3 linked regions of the Callithrix jacchus genome follow. The protein of the gene in region 3 purifies or fractionates together with the protein of the main gene of each other region. This does not show direct contact. Links are inferred from orthologs where the notes say so. Each region holds a gene or a part of one and is shown on either strand. Other genes may lie near its edges.

What was found.
Region 1: the proteins of EXOC8 (region 3) and EXOC7 purify together in Homo sapiens (affinity purification with mass spectrometry; 4 studies listed by BioGRID and IntAct, counting the BioPlex papers as one, with this or other methods). This does not show direct contact. The link is inferred for Callithrix jacchus from reciprocal best matches to the Homo sapiens genes EXOC8 and EXOC7.
Region 2: the proteins of EXOC8 (region 3) and EXOC6B purify together in Homo sapiens (affinity purification with mass spectrometry; 3 studies listed by BioGRID and IntAct, counting the BioPlex papers as one, with this or other methods). This does not show direct contact. The link is inferred for Callithrix jacchus from reciprocal best matches to the Homo sapiens genes EXOC8 and EXOC6B.

Annotation. Positions count from the first base shown.
Region 1 is NC_133506.1:131,987,879-131,991,444, reverse strand, and holds part of EXOC7 (exocyst complex component 7), read left to right. Parts: intron 1-2,453; coding exon 2,454-2,517; intron 2,518-2,741; coding exon 2,742-2,783; intron 2,784-2,890; coding exon 2,891-3,024; intron 3,025-3,268; coding exon 3,269-3,371; 3' UTR 3,372-3,566. UniProt on the Homo sapiens protein: Component of the exocyst complex involved in the docking of exocytic vesicles with fusion sites on the plasma membrane.
Region 2 is NC_133515.1:40,663,068-40,666,633, forward strand, and holds part of EXOC6B (exocyst complex component 6B), read right to left. Parts: intron 2,284-3,566; coding exon 2,200-2,283; intron 1,864-2,199; coding exon 1,817-1,863; intron 431-1,816; coding exon 310-430; intron 1-309. UniProt on the Homo sapiens protein: Component of the exocyst complex involved in the docking of exocytic vesicles with fusion sites on the plasma membrane.
Region 3 is NC_133520.1:53,553,603-53,557,606, forward strand, and holds the start of EXOC8 (exocyst complex component 8), read left to right. Parts: upstream 1-1,161; 5' UTR 1,162-1,284; coding exon 1,285-3,462; 3' UTR 3,463-4,004. Other genes in the region: DNA-dependent metalloprotease SPRTN, read right to left, coding at 428-648. UniProt on the Homo sapiens protein: Component of the exocyst complex involved in the docking of exocytic vesicles with fusion sites on the plasma membrane.

The DNA.
Region 1 (3,566 bases), on a different chromosome or scaffold from region 3:
GTCCTCTTTCTTCCTGGCTCTGTGGGGATCTCTGTGCTTCCCTGGTCCTCTTTCTTCCTGGCTCTGTGGGGGTCTCTGCGCTTCCCTGGTCCTCTTTCTTCCTGGCTCTGTGGGGATCTCTGCGCTTCCCTGGTCCTCTTTCTTCCTGGCTCTGTGGGGATCTCTGCGCTTCCCTGGTCCTCTTTCTTCCTGGCTCTGTGGGGATCTCTGCGCTTCCCTGGTCCTCTTTCTTCCTGGCTCTGTGGGGATCTCTGCGCTTCTCTGGTCCTCTTTCTTCCTGGCTCTGTGGGGATCTCTGTGCTTCTCTGGTCCTCTTTCTTCCTGGCTCTGTGGGGGTCTCTGCGCTTTGCTGGTCCTCTTTCTTCCTGGCTCTGTGGGGGTCTCTGCGCTTCTCTGGTCCTCTTTCTTCCTGGCTCTGTGGGGGTCTCTGTGCTTCCCTGGTCCTCTTTCTTCCTGGCTCTGTGGGGATCTCTGTGCTTCTCTGGTCCACTTCCTGGCTCTGTGGGGATCTCTATGCTTCTCTGGTCCTCTTCCTGGCTCTGTGGGGATCTCTGCGCTTCTGTGGTCCTCTTTCTTCCTGGCTCTGTGGGGGTCTCTGCGCTTCTCTGGTCCTCTTTCTTCCTGGTTCTGTGGAGATCTCTGCACTTCTCTGGTCCTCTTTCTTCCTGGCTCTGTGGGGATCTCTGTGCTTCTCTGGTTCTCTTCCTGGCTCTGTGGGGATCTCTGCGCTTCTGTGGTCCTCTTTCTTCCTGGCTCTGTGGGGGTCTCTGCGCTTCTCTGGTCCTCTTTCTTCCTGGTTCTGTGGGGATCTCTGCACTTCTCTGGTCCTCTTTCTTCCTGGCTCTGTGGGGATCTCTGTGCTTCCGTGGTCCTCTTTCTTCCTGGCTCTGTGGGGGTCTCTGCGCTTCGCTGGTCCTCTTTCTTCCTGGCTCTGTGGGGATCTCTGTGCTTCTCTGGTCCTCTTTCTTCCTGGCTCTGTGGGGATCTCTGCGCTTCTCTGGTCCTCTTTCTTCCTGGCTCTGTGGGGATCTCTGTGCTTCTCTGGTCCTCTTTCTTCCTGGCTCTGTGGGGATCTCTGTGCTTCTCTGGTCCTCTTTCTTCCTGGCTCTGTGGGGATCTCTGTGCTTCTCTGGTCCTCCTTCTGGCTCTGTGGGGATCTCTGTGCTTCCCTGGTCCTCTTTCTTCCTGGCTCTGTGGGGATCTCTGTGCTTCTCTGGTCCTCTTTCTTCCTGGCTCTGTGGGGATCTCTGTGCTTCTCTGGTCCTCTTTCTTCCTGGCTCTGTGGGGATCTCTGTGCTTCCCTGGTCCTCTTTCTTCCTGGTTCTGTGGGGGTCTCTGCGCTTCCCTGGTCCTCTTTCTTCCTGGCTCTGTGGGGATCTCTGCGCTTCTCTGGTCCTCTTTCTTCCTGGCTCTGTGGGGATCTCTGCGCTTCTCTGGTCCTCTTTCTTCCTGGCTCTGTGGGGATCTCTATGCTTCTCTGGTCCTCTTCCTGGCTCTGTGGGGATCGCTGTGCTTCTCTGGTCCTCTTTCTTCCTGGCTCTGTGGGGGTCTCTGTGCTTCCCTGGTCCTCTTTCTTCCTGGCTCTGTGGGGGTCTCTGTGCTTCCCTGGTCCTCTTTCTTCCTGGCTCTGTGGGGGTCTCTGTGCTTCCCTGGTCCTCTTTCTTCCTGGCTCTGTGGGGGTCTCTGTGCTTCCCTGGTCCTCTTTCTTCCTGGCTCTGTGGGGGTCTCTGTGCTTCTCTGGTCCTCTTTCTTCCTGGCTCTGTTTCTTCCCTTTGAGTGTGTCTCCCTCTTCCCTCTTGTTTATCTCCCCTCCACTCACTCCTTTCTTTCCCATCTGTTTCTCCGTCTTAATTTGCCATGATACTGATGTGAAATATAGTTGACAGTATTTGTTCAGTTTATTGAACACTCAAATGTTTCCTTATGTTTTCTCAATGAGTGACCAGTTTAAACATTTTCTCTTTTGTTTGTTTTTTTTGTTTTTGTTTTTTGTTTTTTTGAGACAGAGTTTCACTCTTGTCACCCCGGCTGGAGTCCAATGGCGCAGCCTTGGCTCACTGCAACCTCTGCCTCCCGGGTTCAAGTGATTCTCCTGCCTCAGCCTCCCAGGTAACTGGGATTACAGGCATGCAACACCATACCCAGCTAATTTAGCATTTTTAGTAGAGATGGGGTTTCTCCATGTTGGCCAGTCTGGTCTCGAACCTCTGACCTCAGGTGATCTGCCTGCCTCAGCATCCCAAATTGCTGGGATTATAGGTGAGAGCCACTGCGTCTGGGCTGTTTAAACATTTTCTATTCCCAGGAAGAGAATCTGTTGTTTTGCTTAGTTGTGACCCACATCCCTTCCTACCACCAACCACTAAGTAGATCCAGAGATTTGGCAAATGACACAAACCAGGCCACCGAGGCAGGCCGTCCTCTGCCCTCATGCTTCTCTTTCTGTCCGGCAGTTGGTTAAAGGTGACCGATTACATCGCAGAGAAGAATCTACCTGTGTTCCAGCCGGGAGTCAAGGTGGGCTCAAGGCCTGGGCTGGGAATGGGTGTTTAGCAGACTGGATACTTTGTTGTATCTCTGGGAAAAGAGGACAAGCGTCCCTCTGGGATCAGAGAGCAAAGGATGTGTATGGCCATCAGGGCACAGGAGAGAAGCCCAGGCCAAGGGCGTTTGGAACAGAGTGCGGGCAGGCTGCCCTGCTCTGAACTGAGCTTTCTCTACTATCTCTCCTGGCTTCCCAGCTCCGGGACAAGGAGCGTCAGATTATCAAGGAGCGTTTTAAGGTGAGTTGAGGTCCTCTCCTTTCCACTGCTTGCTGCTGTTTTTGAGACAACACAGACCCAAAGTTTTGTCTCTGGGTCCCTTCCTTTTTCACCTTTTTGGTGGCCAGGGCTTCAATGATGGCCTTGAAGAACTATGCAAAATCCAGAAGGCCTGGGCTATTCCGGACATGGAGCAGAGGGACAGGATTCGCCAGGCCCAGAAGACCATTGTTAAGGAGACCTATGGGGCCTTTCTGCAGAAGTGAGCCCCTTCCCAGCCTGTGCTGCCCACGGCCACAGTGGGCTCTTTGAGCTCCTCTTCCTCAAGGGCAAAAGGAAAAGGGTGACAGGTTTAGGCCGCAGATCCAGCACCCTGGGCTTTGGGGCGGGGCTGGACAGGGAATCACTCTGGGTCACACCTTCCGAGACTCTCAGGAGTGCCTTAGGCTGAGGGTGGTGCTGGGGAGGGTCGGCTTCCCTGTCCCCTGACGGCAGTGCCCCCTCAGGTTCGGCAGTGTGCCCTTCACCAAGAACCCGGAGAAGTACATCAAGTACGGTGTGGAGCAGGTGGGCGACATGATCGATCGCCTTTTCGACACCTCTGCCTGAGCCTGCTGCTAGCCCTGCCTGTTTCCACCAGACTGACATGTCATTGGACAGATAAACCAGTGTTAAGTTGCCTCTGGCCCCTTTGGGACAGAGTCCTATCTCCAACACCCCATCCAGGAGCCATGTCCCTGAGCCATCTAGTCCTGGGTTCCACTCTTTCCCCACACCCTATGTTCCCAACCAAACCAGCACTCT
Region 2 (3,566 bases), on a different chromosome or scaffold from region 3:
CCTTTTTAGGGTTGTAGTGAGGATGAAATAAGAGAGTATGTATAAAGTATACAAAATAATGTCTGACTCATAGAATAATCAACAGACATTAGCTGCTGTTTTCTTATTGCAAAGGGCATCTATAAAAGTAGCTCAGTGGAAGAAAATGTGACAATTTGAAGGAGCTACTTCTATATCTTTGAAGGACATATATAGCTTCAAGTGAGTGACTGCAAAGACACACATATGCGGATGTTAAAGCAGTAAAACACTGAATAGCAGATAGATAATCAGCTCTAAATAACAACTTCTCTTGGGCTTCTTACATACCGAGTGGGTACGGAGTGCTGCGATGGTTTTTGAAAGTGCCATTTCCCACAGTTCATCAATGTAGGCTCTATTAACTAAGCCCTGCGTTGTATGTAAAATGTGATCTTCAACCACAAAAAAGCTAAGATTGAGGAAAAAAGAAAGCACAGCTGTCAGAATTTACAGTTATATTACTATCTCTGGGGTTTTAAAAGCATTAAGAGATAACAAATGCAAAGTTAGTAGTCATTGTTTTCTTGAAATGACTACTAACTACTAACTAAATGAAGAAAGTTATTTGGTTATCTGAATATCATAAATGAAATCAGACTACTTGGACTAAAAATTATGTCTGTGATTATGATATCTTCTTAACTACTCCTAGAGATATTAAGAGTTACATTTGTATTACATTTCTATTAAATGTTAACAATGATATCCAGTAGTTTAAAAGAGGAAAATGTGTAGAGGTAACAGAGGCAAATTTTGTTATATAAGAAAACACCAAGCCATCAATATATTTCCATAAAAGCTAATATATGTTATATACATCATATATGTTATGTATTATTTATATATATATTTTTTAAGAATCCAATGCACAAAATATCAAAATAATTCCCTCATGCAAACTCTCTCATCAAAGTGTTGAAAAGGCATCATATAAAGGTTTCAAAAATGCAAAGTTATTTTTCAACGATCTTGTTGTTGCTTCTTATTATTATGCATTTAAAATGTACCTTTCATTGTCTTGCCTAAATGTCCATATTAATGAAAAAAACTTCTTTATTAGAAAATTTTTATGATAAATTTTAATAACTACTAATTATATTGAAACAAATCTGAAATAAAACAAACCTGATGATGAATCCAAGTTATTTCCTTTTCTGTTTACTGCAAAGTCATTATTTTGGAATTTGACCAAGCTGCCTATATTGGGGTGTTTATTTGGGAAATGCAATTCCATACCACTATATACACTCTAGATGAGGGTGGCAAACTGTATTAGCCCGTGGGATAAACCTAGCCCACTGCCTGTTTTTATAAAGATTGTTTTATTGGAACATAGCCATGCTCATCATTTATGTATTGTCTATAGCTACTTTTACACTACAACAACAGAGCTAAACAGTTGTGACAGAGACCATACAGCCTACTAAGCCTAAAATATTTTACTATCTGGCCCTTTTGGAAAAAGTTTGCCAACTTTTGATGATTATTTGGTTCCATCTACCAAAAAGAAAGAAACAAAACATAAAGTATAATAAGATTACAATTCAATGTTTTTCTCACTTTATCCACAAAGTGCCCTACAACAATATAATATTGAAACCAGCAGAATGTTCCTTTTAAATCATTAGAAAATCAAAAACAAACCTTAAGAATTTAAAAAAAGAAAACAAATTTTAAAAAAAGAAAAAAAGAATTTCCCAAGGAAAACCTGATTTATTTTTCCAACTCTCACAACTTTCTATGTATTGAAAGTGTATAAATTTAAGTAAATAAATATATATATATATATACCTACCCTACAATTTGATTAAAATACTTCCTGTAGCCGTCTAACGTTTCATGCTGCAACAAAGCAAAGAAGAAAGTTATTGTTTCTGTTCTGTTACTTTAAAAAAAAGTTAAAATCAGTCACTTAATCTCTTAAGGCTCAGTTCCCTAGATGATATCTGATAAGGTAAAAATACTAATGTTATCTGCCAATGAAGCGGAAATGGGACAGCATATATCCAGTACTTAGAACACTGAGTGACACATAGCAATCAATCGATAATGTTTTCATACTACAAGTCGCATCCACCAAAAGTTATCTGAGAATGACAGTATACACACAAACACACAAGCATCAAAAGATACCAAGGAAAAGTAAAAATGTGAGAAAAGTGAAGATAGTAATCCTACCATGTTAGACGGAGGTTGAAGTACCAAACGAGCCTGTTTTCGCCTCTGTTTTCGGTAGTAATTCTCAAATGTTTCCCGGGCACCCTGTAAAATAAAGAAAACGGAAATGGTTTTGACACAATTGAACCAATTACTTTTATATTTCAAGGGAAAAGAGAAGGTCCCAGGTCTGGAATTTGGTAGTACCACATTTCTCAAAATCTCTATTTTAACAGTGATGATAATGATAGAAAATAAAAATAACTATTGCCATTTATTGAACCTTACTTACAAACCTGTAAGGGTGGGTATAAAATATCCTTACAAGGAAACTGCAAGAACTTAACCACCAGTACACCAAAGCTGGTATCTGAATCAACTATCTCAAACTCATAAGAATGAAGGGAAACCAACCTTTCCATAGGATGATAACAGGTAAGAAAACATTCCTTAAAAAACTCACAAAACATTCCAGAAGGAAAATGTCCAGAATAAAAACCAGCTTTCAAACGAATCATGAACAAAGAGGCAATGGGAAGCAGAAGAAAAGCAGGAACTGAGAACAGCATATTAGTATCCACCTTAGGGGATAATCTAGCACAGGATTAAACCCAAAAAAAACAAAAGCATGAAGATTCTTGGTACACAGTTCCTACTTTTCATTTATGGTATCTGGGCTTAAAATGAGAAGTTCTCTACAGAATCACATCTGACTCATGAGCTGTGTACTGGGTTGAAAAGTGGTCTCCCAAAATTCATATCCTTCATGGAACTTCAGAGTATAGTCATGTTTGGAAATAGGGCCACTGTAGATGTAATTAGTTAAATTAAGATGTGATCCTATTAGTGTAAGGGACCTTAATGCAGTATGTCTGGTGTCCTGAAAAGCCAAAATGAAAAGACAGAGATACACAGGGAGAACATCATGTGATGACAGAGGCAGAGAGTGATACAGCTGCAAGCCAGGGAACATCAGAGATTGCTGATCACTAGCAGGAGCTGAAGATTCTACCTAGTCTCAGGGAGAACATGGCCCTTCTGATGCCTTGATTTTGGAATTATAGCCTCCAAAACTGGGACAGAATACATTTCTGTTGTTTTAAGCCACTCAATTTATGGTGCTTTGTTACAGCAGCTCTAGGAAACTAATACAAACTCAATGTATTTAGATTATCATGCCCCATTTATTACTGAATTCTATTCTTAATCCAAAGCTTTTCTAAATAAACAAGAGTAAAAATGGAAAGACAGTATACCACAGTGGTAAAGAGCATTGATTTTGGAACCAGAGGTTATTACATATGAATCGTGATTCTGTCTCTTACTAGCTATACAACTGCTATAAATAGCTGTATAACTTCCTTCTACTAATTTAAGTTCCACTATTT
Region 3 (4,004 bases):
TGCAGCACACGAGTTCACTAAAGTGGGTTCCTAACGAGAATAGAAGAGGACAGCACACATCCTCTGGAGGTTACTCTGCATCCTCAGCACTTTCTTAGGGGCAGATTTGGTTGCTTCTCTTTTCTGGCTCCTAGAGCACAATCATAAGGCAAATCAGAAACTTGTCATTTTCAAGTTTAGTGAGATTCAAATAACAATCTCATTTCTCATTATGTCCGAGTCCAACCGTGGCGGTATGGTCTACATAGCTTTCTTATTGTTCGAGTGGGAGAAACACGCTAAGACAGGAACTGCCAGGTCCAAAACCAGACCCCCTCATATAACCCCCCTCTGGGACGGTCGGACAGAGAAAGGAGAGAACCCCAGGGCCGAGGGCTGCAGAGGAGCTGCTAATCCCGCCTCTTTCCCCAGAGGGCTGGGAACTCACAGGGTCATTCGCACGCTCCACTTCACCTCGACCGCCTCCAGTTGGCCCCAGAAGAACTGGTCGTTAAACTGAACAAACAGGGCCTGCAAGTCCGGCGTGGGGTCCACCAATTCCCACGACGCGTCCACCAGCGACAGGGGCTCCTGGGCCTGATTGCGCTCCATGACCTGCAAGTTCCACTCCTCCTGAAGCCGCAGTGCCAACATCAGGTCATCATCCATCGCTGCCAAGATCCCAGGCGGGGTCCGCCGGCGTCAGGCTGACTCCCGAATCAGGCCGCGACCCCACGCCGCCTCGCAGAGGACCAGGACTAAGCTCCTAGGAGACACCGGCTCTCCGGACGGCCAATCTCGCGAGAGTCCGCGGAAACCCTCTTGAGAACGAGAACGTGAACCAAAACGGAGCTTACCCCAAACGCCGAAGCCAAGATTCTAGGTCTTTAAAAAGAGCAGTCAGCGTGACACCTCCTAGTAGGCGCAGACTCTGGGCTCCCAAGGCTCGGGCCCTAGGAAGCTTTCAGGAAGCTAGTTCCAGCCTTACTTTGCCAGTTATTTCAAGCCTCAACGTCACGCTCGGGTCATGCGCAGTACCCAAGTTTCGCTCGGCCTCTCCCCTCACTTCCGCAATAGCTCTTCTTGCGCATGCGCTTTAACCGACGGCAGTCCTACGCAGCCGCAGTCTGCGCTCGGCACCTTGCGCAGGCGCAGTGTCTGACGCTCAAACCCGGCGCAGGCGTACTCGTCTCGTTCCCATCCTGCTTCCTCAGCCCTAGAGCTCCGCTGGTCTTGGGTGGGTCTGGACAGCTGCCGCGGCTGCGGCGCCGATAGTGACAGTAAGTGCCTGAGACCCGGACGGAAATGGCGATGACGATGTCAGACAGTGGGGCGAGCCGCCTGCGTCGGCAGCTGGAGTCGGGTGGTTTTGAGGCGCGGCTGTACGTGAAGCAGCTCTCGCAGCAGTCGGATGGGGACCGGGATCTCCAGGAGCACCGGCAGCGCATCCAGGCGCTGGCGGAGGAGACCGCGCAGAATTTGAAGCGCAACGTCTACCAGAACTACCGGCAGTTCATAGAGACCGCCCGCGAGATCTCCTACCTGGAGAGCGAGATGTACCAGCTCAGCCACCTGCTGACCGAGCAGAAGAGCAGCCTGGAGAGCATCCCGCTTACATTGCTGCCTGCAGCCGCGGCCGCCGGAACCGCCGCCGCCTCTGGGGGGGAGGAGGGAGTCGGTGGGGCGGGGGCCCGAGACCACCTCCGAGGCCAGGCTGGCTTTTTCCCCTCCCCCGGGGGTGCCTCCCGCGACGGCTCCGGTCCAGGCGAGGAAGGAAAGCAGCGCACTCTCACCACCCTGCTTGAGAAGGTGGAAGGCTGCAGGCACCTGCTGGAGACGCCGGGACAGTACCTGGTGTACAACGGGGACCTAGTGGAATACGATGCGGACCACATGGCCCAACTGCAGCGAGTGCACGGCTTTCTCATGAACGATTGTTTGTTGGTGGCTACCTGGCTGCCGCAGCGGCGGGGGATGTATCGCTACAACGCGCTCTATTCCCTAGATGGTTTGGCCGTAGTCAATGTCAAGGACAACCCACCCATGAAGGACATGTTCAAGCTGCTTATGTTCCCTGAGAGCCGTATTTTCCAGGCCGAAAATGCTAAAATCAAACGAGAGTGGCTGGAAGTACTGGAGGAGACCAAGAGAGCCCTAAGTGAGAAAAGGCGAAGGGAGCAGGAGGAGGCAGCAGCCCCTCGAGGGCCACCCCAAGTGACTTCCAAGGCCACTAACCCATTTGAGGATGATGAAGAAGAAGAACCAGCTGTTCCTGAGGTAGAGGAAGAGAAGGTGGACCTCTCCATGGAATGGATCCAGGAGTTACCTGAAGACCTGGATGTCTGTATTGCCCAGAGGGACTTTGAAGGGGCCGTCGACCTCCTGGATAAATTGAACCATTACCTGGAAGATAAGCCTAGCCCACCTCCTGTAAAAGAACTAAGGGCCAAAGTGGATGAGAGAGTTCGACAGCTCACTGAGGTGCTAGTTTTCGAACTCTCCCCAGATCGTTCGCTGAGAGGTGGTCCCAAGGCTACCCGCAGAGCAGTTTCTCAACTGATCCGGCTGGGCCAGTGCACGAAGGCCTGTGAGCTATTTTTGAGAAACAGGGCAGTCGCTGTTCATACTGCAATTCGTCAGCTTCGCATTGAAGGTGCCACTTTACTCTATATTCAAAAGCTGTGCCATGTCTTCTTTACTAGCCTTCTTGAGACTGCAAAAGAATTTGAGATTGATTTTGCAGGAACTGACAGTGGCTGCTATTCTGCGTTTGTGGTCTGGGCAAGATCAGCCATGGGCATGTTTGTGGATGCTTTTAGCAAGCAGGTGTTTGATAGTAAGGAGAGCCTCTCTACAGCAGCTGAGTGTGTAAAAGTGGCTAAGGAGCATTGCCAGCAACTGGGTGATATCGGACTAGACCTCACCTTCATCATCCACGCCCTTCTGGTGAAAGACATCCAAGGGGCCTTGCACAGTTACAAAGAAATCATCATTGAAGCCACTAAACATCGCAACTCTGAAGAGATGTGGAGGAAGATGAACTTGATGACGCCAGAAGCCCTGGGTAAGCTCAAAGAAGAGATGAAAAGTTGCGGGGTAAGTAACTTTGAGCAGTACACGGGGGATGACTGCTGGGTGAACTTAAGTTACACAGTGGTTGCTTTCACCAAACAGACCATGGGCTTTTTGGAAGAGGCCCTGAAGCTGTATTTCCCAGAGCTGCACATGGTACTTTTGGAGAGCCTGGTGGAAATCATTCTGGTTGCTGTTCAGCATGTGGATTATAGTCTTCGATGTGAGCAGGATCCGGAGAAGAAAGCTTTTATCAGGCAGAATGCATCCTTTTTATATGAAACAGTCCTCCCTGTCGTGGAGAAAAGGTTTGAAGAAGGTGTGGGGAAACCTGCTAAGCAACTCCAAGATCTGAGGAATGCATCTAGACTTATTCGTGTGAATCCTGAAAGTACAACATCAGTGGTCTAATGCTTGGGTCTGTTTATATGTACATATATATAGAGAGAAAGCTTATATATTATTTATATTTATATTAAGTTGTATTCGCATACTCTTTATAGTTTTAAACACAACTTGAAAATAAAAGGTGCCCTCTTAGAAATACAAAACCAAAAGAGGAAAAGAAATTAAACCCAAATAACAAAAATACTGGAATGATTGAAACATATAGTATGCTAGCTATCCTTTTGAATTATGCTAATTCCCTTTCAAATTATGGTCACACTATACACTATAGCATATAAGTTTTATCCTTTGATAAAACACTTTTTGTTTTTTTTTTTTTTTTTTTAGAGACAGGATCTCACTGCAAGGTCTCGACTCACTGCAGCCTTGACCTCCCAGGCCCAAGCAATCCTCCCACCTCAGCTTCCCATGTAGCTGGAAACAGGCAGGCACCACCATACCCAGCTAATTTTTGTGTTCTTTGTAAAGATGGGTTTCCCCATGTTGCCCAGGCTGGTCTTTTTTTTCTTCTTCTTTTTTTCCCCACAATATATATTATACAGCAG